2 linked regions of the Macaca mulatta genome follow. The protein of the gene in region 2 interacts with the protein of the main gene of each other region in a biochemical or structural test. Links are inferred from orthologs where the notes say so. Each region holds a gene or a part of one and is shown on either strand. Other genes may lie near its edges.

What was found. The genes of interacting proteins can lie anywhere in the genome.
Region 1: the proteins of CHAF1B (region 2) and ASF1A form a complex in vitro, tested with the Homo sapiens proteins (2 studies listed by BioGRID and IntAct). The link is inferred for Macaca mulatta from reciprocal best matches to the Homo sapiens genes CHAF1B and ASF1A.

What each region holds. Positions count from the first base shown.
Region 1 is NC_133409.1:23,859,364-23,863,317, forward strand, and holds the start of ASF1A (histone chaperone ASF1A), read left to right. Parts: upstream 1-1,154; 5' UTR 1,155-1,494; coding exon 1,495-1,603; intron 1,604-3,954. UniProt on the Homo sapiens protein: Histone chaperone that facilitates histone deposition and histone exchange and removal during nucleosome assembly and disassembly.
Region 2 is NC_133408.1:11,041,997-11,045,941, forward strand, and holds the start of CHAF1B (chromatin assembly factor 1 subunit B), read right to left. Parts: upstream 2,801-3,945; 5' UTR 2,699-2,800; intron 2,094-2,698; 5' UTR 2,020-2,093; coding exon 1,894-2,019; intron 591-1,893; coding exon 458-590; intron 1-457. UniProt on the Homo sapiens protein: Acts as a component of the histone chaperone complex chromatin assembly factor 1 (CAF-1), which assembles histone octamers onto DNA during replication and repair.

The DNA of each region.
Region 1 (3,954 bases), on a different chromosome or scaffold from region 2:
ACAAATCAACATTCTGGGCACTATCCTAAGAGAAAACTCTTCCAGAGCAGATACTTCAGAATTAATTTTCTCTCTGAATTTGGCCAAGTTTGGTGGTTTCATTCACAACATTTAAGGAAAAAAGTGACGGTTTATGGATAGCAGGTAATAAAAACAAATCTTTATACCACTTACTAGTAATAGAAACGGTTTAGGCTCACAAATGTGTTAAAGCTTTCTCTTTCCCCGCAATGGTAGTCAAACAGCATAAACGAATCAACATTTCCTCAGTTCAGATCTCAACTGGTTACAGGCAAGCAAGGGCTCCTCAGAATTTGCTTTACTAATGGTTTAGGTCAGAAATTTTTTTGAAGATCAAATGTCTTGCTATGTCTTCGTGTTCTTTTCCCCATCTCTATTATGTGTGTTGCCCTGTTGGTCTCCTGACACTTCCATTTTCTCCTTTTATGTTCCTGCTATGCTCTCCCAATGGCAGTAACCTAGGGTATAACTGATCACACCTCTTGTGATTTTTTTCTTATTCTAGGACTTTCCAGATCTGGACTCCGAAGAAGACGCCCAGGTGTAAGCCCAAAGGTTACCTATTTAAATTTTCCAAGCACAGTGTGTGGAAAATCATTCCTCGCCCTTCATTTTGTGTTGCTTAACGGCGCTGTCGTGCCTAAACGTAGATACTGGCCAAGAGCTAGATTTCCAAAATGGCTTTGCTCCTTTCGAGCTGACATCGGTCTATAACATGCAATTTATTTCCCCTGCAGGCAATCTTTTTCTCTACTCCAACTACTACCCGATACACAGAAAGCTGAACCTAACCCAGTGTAAACACCGATTCTCATCTGCTAAATTCAGCAAGGCCGGCAAAGCTGTTGCAATGATGTAAAAAGAGCGTTAAAAAATTAAAAAAAAAAAAAAAAACACAAAAAACCACAAAAAAACAAAAAACGCCAAAACACCCACACGAAGCCAACCGGAGGGGCGGGCGTCGGCCGAATCGCGCCCTCCCGCCGCGGCCACGCCTCCCCGCCGCGGCCACGCCCCCGCCGCCCCTCTCCGCGCCGCCGCCGGCGGCCTCCGCGCGGGCCTCCCAGCCCTTATTCCACTCACTTTGTTCTCCGCCTTTGTCCTAATCCACACCAGCAGGTGGAGCCGCAGTTAAAGTTTCCGAGTCCATTCCGGGAGCGGGAGCCCATCTTGCTGGCTGCCGAGGCCCTCGCTGGAGGAGGAGGGTCAGAGCTCGGGTGCAGCCAATCGAGGGCAACGCTGCTACTTATCAGAGCAGAATGGGCTGTAGTTTAGTGAAATAGGAAAGCTGCAAAACACTGTGGAGTGCTCCCGTGTAAATAAAAAGAGGAAAAAAAAAGTTTCTCAAGTCGCCGCTGCACAACGTCGGGCCGGCGCTGGGGCGGGGGTCTGCGCTCTCCCGAGCGGCCGCGCGCTGGACTTTATTGTGCCGCAACCAGCCCCAGTTCCCATTGTTTGTGTTTTTTTCAAAATATGGCAAAGGTTCAGGTGAACAATGTAGTGGTGCTGGATAACCCTTCTCCTTTCTACAACCCGTTCCAGTTCGAGATCACCTTCGAGTGCATCGAGGACCTGTCTGAAGGTGAGTGCGGCGCCCGTGCGCCCGGGCTGTCAGTTGCGGGCTGCAGACGTTGAAAGTTTCCCGGGCCCGGCCTCGCGCTGGGCGGCTGTGTTCGGCGCCTGGCGGCCGCGGGCTGCTCTGCGGAGGGAAACTTCAAGTTGATGGTCGACGGCCGCCGAGGCGCGCGCGGCTTTCCGCCGCAGCCCAGGCGCCTGCCGGGCTCAACTTGCGAGGAACTTGTTTGAGCGGAGGAAGCCATGTTGTCAGCTTTGTCTGCGGGCGGGCAGCTCGGAGACCCGCACTCGCGCCCGCGGCGCCTCCTGGGGTCGCGCCGGGCTGGCTTAGCGCCGCCAACAGCTTCCGCGACCCTCCGGGCCCGGGCACGGAGGCTGGGAAGGGAGAGGCTGTGCGTGTGGTCGCGCCGGCGAGTTCGGAGCGGAGCCATCTTACCCCAGTCGAGAATTGGGCCAGCGACCCCGGCGCACGGCGCCTCTTCTTGCCCCTTCGCCCGCCTGCCCCCGGCGAAAGGGAGGCAGTAACTCTCGAGAGCTCACGGTGGAGTCGCCGCACTCTCCGGGCTGGCCATGCCTGGCCGCTTCGGGGAGGAGAGCGAGGCTGTCCTCGCGCTGATTTCTGGCTTCCTCGACCAACCAGCGGGGGAGGCGGGCGCAGGCTCGGCCCCTCCGCGCCGCGGGCTGGGCGCCGGCACTCCCCGGGGGCCGCGGGTCCTGTTCGGCCGGTCCTCTTCGGCCGGTGCCCGGGATGCGCCGGGATGCTGGCGCGCAGGCTCCCCAACCAACGTGGACTCCTTTCCCCTAATGACGAAAAGCTAATCTCAGGAAGAGAGAGAGAGCTGAGCTAGGAAGTTACATTTAACCTAAGAGCAGAAATAAGATACTTAAATAATTTCCAGGACTTAATCTCTGCCTTCTAAATAGTCTGAAAGAAGACTTTCTTCAAGAGCGTGTTGAAATGTAAAATAACTCCACATCCAGATGCAGAACACACCCTAAACATAAAACACAAACGTAGGCTAGGAAATTAAGGTAAACAACTCATGTCAGTCCAAGAATTCCTGGTATTTTTTCTACATATATTTTAAGGTCTTAAAAATACGTATTCTTAATATGTTTAGTAATAAATATTTAGAAAGCTAAAACAACAATTATCTTTGCTTTAATTATATTTTACTAAAGTAATTCAGTACTTCATTTGCCAGTTTTGAAGGGGAAATAGTTTAACTTCATCGATGAGGGGCATACTTCTTTGAACTAGAAGTGTATTTTTAAAATGCTCTGAAGATGATTTGGCTAATCGTGGCATGTAAAACTTTTCATTTTAAAAACTAGTTTTTAATCTCTAAAATGTATGTATCATATGTAAGGTTAATTTTAATTATAAAACAATATATATCATTGTAATAAACTTTTAGAAAGTTGTACAGGCATATATAAAGTTAACAGTTCTCTGTACTCAATGCCTTCCCCTATCTCCTTTAGGTAATCACAATTACTACTTTAACATGTGCCCCTCTGTGGGGTTTTTTTTTTTTTTTTTTTTTTTTTTGGTAAACCTATATAGAGTATAAATGCACATACATATATAGGGCAAATTTTGAAAGATGATTCATTTATTAAAATAATTTCAAATAGGCCATTGATAACACTTAGGGGTATTTTTCTTATTACTCTGAAGTCATCTGTATGATACTACTATTAATATAAGCATTGCAGCTACCAGGCCCATTTTTCACACCCAACAGTCAGTAATTTTTTTTTTTTTTTATTGCCAACTGCATATAAAAATAGACAAAAGAAAAACCATTGATCGGTCCATTCCAACTTACACCACAGTGTTTTTCAAGTATACCACCAGAAGTTCTTCAAATTACAGGTATTTCTCAAGTGATGCCTTCCATTTTAGGAGTCAGCTCTGAACAAAGAAGATAGATGACTCAGGATGTCGTTACAGGGCTTTTACATTGCATAGATGAAACCAGCCATTCATAAAGCCAAAACAGGTTCCATTTTTAACTGGGATCCATTCAGAACCCAGCTGAATCACATCAGGGTTTTACAGTACTGGTATCAAAAATATACTTATTTCCAATGGTATATTTCACTTCCTAGGCACCATTACTGAGCATTTATTTAGTATTTTAAAAAATATTTTAAGCTGAGTCATACTGAAGCTGCAAAGGAATCTTTCAAAAAGGTGCCATGCCTGTATACTCCACCTAGAGGCTATGTGGATTAAGGAAATTGAGTTTACTTAGCAAAGGCTTCTTATAGGTTCCATACTTTTATATTATAGTTCTTTTAAAAATTCTGTTCTTAAACTATAGAATTTTTTTTTTTTTTTAAATGAGACAG
Region 2 (3,945 bases):
CCTAAATGACAGATTGAGAAGGTCGGCCATATCTGAAATAAAAAGCATATCCAGGCCAGGCCCGGTGGCTCATGCCTGTAATCCCAGCAATTTGGGAGGCCGAGGCAGGTGGATCACCTGAGGTCAGGAGTTCGAGATCAGCCTGGCCAACATGATGAAACCCCATCTCTACTAAAAATACAAAAAAAAAAAAAAAAAAAAATTAGCCGGGCGTGGTGGCAGGTGCCTATAATCCCAGCTACTCGGGAGGCTGAGGCAGGAGAATCGCCCGAACCCGGGAGGCGGAGGTTGCAGTGAGTCGAGATTGCACCACTGCACTCCAGCCTGGGGAATAAGAGCAACACTCTATCCCACCCCTCCTAAAAAAGCATATTCAGCTCAAATCTCACTATCTGACACGAGACACACAGGTATCTATCTGGTTCCTAAAGAATCTCTGAAGAACAGCAATACTCACCATCTCCTCCCGATGCTAAAATTTCCCCAGTTGGAGAAAAACGCACGACATTGACAGCTTTGGTATGACGAGCAAGATTGGACAAAAATTCCACAATGGCTTTTCCATCTGGTCCCTTTTCTACCTTCCAGATCTGTCAATACCAAAACATTCATTTGAAAAACATAGAATAGGCACATATTATACTGTTTGTATTAAAACAATACTATGGGCTGGGTGTGGTGGCTCACAACTGTAATCCTAGCAGTTTAGGAGGCCAAGGTGGGTAAATCACTTGAGGCCAGGAGTTCAAGACCAGCCTGGAAACATAGTGAGACCTGGTCTCTACAGAAAATTTTAAAAATTAGCCAAGTGTGATGACACATGCCTGTAGTTCCAGTTACCCGGGAGGCTGAGGTGGGAGGATCACTTGAGCCCTGGAGGTCAGGGCTGCAGTGAGCCGAGATCAGGCCACTGCATTCCAGCCTGGGCGACACAGTAAGACCCTGTCTCAAAAAAAAAAAAAAAAAAAAAAACTATGCTTATTTTCAGAAAGAAATCCCCATCTAAAACATAAATGTCTACTGTTCCCCTCCGCCTTCTTTCTAGAGCAACTTGTTACCCAATAGGAACCAGGATCAGAATCCCAAAACAATGAACGTCCAGTTACAATAATCTAGGGAAAATGAATCAAATAAGAAAGCAGAGCCAGGGCATGGTGGCTCAGGCCTGTAATCCCAGCACTTTGGGAGGCCAAGGTGGGTGGATTACCTGAGGTCAGGAGTTCGAGCCCAGCCTGGCCAACATGGTGAAACCCCATCTCTACTTTATACAAAAATTAGCCGGGTGTGGTAATGAGTGGCTGTAGTACCAGTTACTTGGGAGGCTGAGGCAAGAGAATAGCTTGAACCTGGGAGGCAGAGGTTGCAGTAAGTCGAGATTGCACCACTGCACTCCCGCCTGGGCAACAGAGCGAGACTCCATCTCAAAAAAAAAAAAAAAGCAGCTCTCTTTTGCTTTCATTGTTCACCGCAGGCCCTGGAAATTTAGCATTCTGGGCTAGATGACAGAGTAGTTTGAATTTGTTGACATATGTTCAATTCATTCATTCATTTACTTAAGAGAAGGGTCTGGCTGTGTCACCCAGGCTAGAGTGCAGTGGAGTGATGGTTGCTCCCTTCAAACTCCAAGCCTCAAGCGATCCTCTCACCTCAACCTCCCAAGTAGCTGGGCCTACAGCTGCACACCGCCACGTCCTGCTACTTTTTCATTTCTGGCTATGTTGCCCAGGCTGGTCTCGAACTCCTGGACTTAAGTGATCCTCTTACCTCAGCCTCCCAAAGCACTGGGATTGCAGGCGTGAGCCATCGCGCCCAGCCGACATCGGTTTTAAATAAAAGAATGAAAACTATTGCTTCAAGCAGTGTTCCCAGATGGCTATCTCTGCCCCAGCTTACCCTGACAGCGGTGTCCACGCCCGCAGACGCTAGTCTGTGGATCCTCCCGGCCGCCCCATGCTGGAAGTCCAGGCTGTACACGGGCTCCTTGTTGTGCCAGGCTATTTCACAAGTGATGACTTTCATCCTCCTGAGTCTTGAAGGGGCAAAACGTTTCTCGGGCACCGTTCTACTTCAAGACGGAGGAAAGCTGCAAAATGCTGGTGATGGATTAAACAACAGTGTTAGCAGCAGCGAAGGGTTACTGAGCGCTGAATAGGGCAGGAGCCATTTAAAATGCACACTGCATTGGGAAAGGATGTTAACGTTGCCATCTGACAAGAACACCTTGCTAGCTCCACCTAAAATGCTTCGCTGGGTCCTGACATCCACAAGTTTATGATACGCCGCTACGTCCAGAAAAGCAAAACCAAACATCCAGGTAGAGGCTACCTAGGGGCCCCGGCCATCTGCACGGCCTGTCCCCGCTTAGTAGGGTCTAGGGGCGCGCCCTGAGAGCCCAGGTAGGGGCCCGCCCCGGGAGGGGCCTCCCGGAAGAGGGGGGCAAACGGGGTAGGGGACCGGGGCGGCGGGGCGAGAGCAGAACCCCGCCTTTCCCAGGGACCGGGCGCTGGGCCCGGGAAGCTGGGACAGAGGCCGCCGGGAGGAGGCCGCGCGGGGCCGGGGGTGGACGGGGCCCCGCCGCCCGAACGCGCGCCCTTCGGAGCTATCCCGGGCCCCAGGCCCTGGGCAAGGGCCTCTGGCCCCAGATCGACCCGACCAAAAGAGCCGCGGAGCCGCCCGGGCCAGCCACGGGAAGCCGTACCTGCAGGAACCCGGACGGTCAGAGGCGCCGTCACCTCCCGCGCAGCGCGCGCTGCTTCCCGCGCGCCGCAGGCCCCGCCCCCCGCATGGGTGGGACCTCATGGACGCCCCGCCCCTCAAGCGCCTCTCAGGTCCCGCCCGACGTGGGCGGCACCCCAGGGAAGCCCCGCCCCCTCCTAGGCGCCGAGGCGAGTCCCGGTCTGGCCCTGGGGTCGGAATCCGGGCCGGAATTTATTCCCGCCAGACCCACGATTGCAGGAAGAATGGATTCACTATTATTTATTATTATTATCCATTATTTATTCCTTGTTGATTCGTTCTTTTAGCAAACGTTTACAGAGCCTGGGCTGTGTGTTAGACAGACCCTATGCTGGCGCTGTGCACTTGGGAGGGCGAACACGACCGGTTCTCCTGTCCCTTCTGCAAACAAAAACTGAGATCTCTGGGTTTCTATATTGGCTTCTAGAACATTTTGGAGAGTTCAAAGCTATGAAATTCTTCAGTACCTAGCGCAAGATTGCTTACATTTTATTATTATAGTAGACGAAGTTATAAATCCTTTCTTTTTTTTTTTTTTTTTGAGACGGAGTCTGCTCTGTCGCCCAGGCTGGAGTGCAGTGGCCGGATCTCAGCTCACTGCAAGCTCCACCTCCCGGGTTTACGCCATTCTCCTGCCTCAGCCTCCCGAGTAGCTGGGACTACAGGCGCCCGCCACCTCGCCCGGCTAGTTTTTTGTATTTTTTTTAGTAGAGACGGGGTTTCACCGTGTTAGCCAGGATGGTCTCGATCTCCTGACCTCGTGATCCGCCCGTCTCGGCCTCCCAAAGTGCTGGGATTACAGGCTTGAGCCACCGCGCCCGGCCTTATAAATCCTTTTTAAGAACAGACTCACATTTTAAAGTGAGGCGGTAAATTGATCGGTAGGCACAGATACCGCAGGCCTTTTGAAATGGGACGTTTCCAGATGAGACCTAATTTATCTGTGGGCTTCGCAGAAGGCCAGAAAACAAGTACCTCTGGATGCGCTGCTTTTACTGGATAAAAGAAACACACAGGTTTATCTGAGGAACCAACTGCTCTAGGATTTTTGGAAAAAAAGAACAGACATGGATTCTTATATAAATACTGGCTGATGCTTTTAGCCAGCTTTATGAAAGGTACAGATATTGCCTAAAAATCAGTGTCTCATGTTGATAAGAATGGCTGTATGCTCCTTGAAGCCTGATTTCTACAGGAAGCTAGAATAAC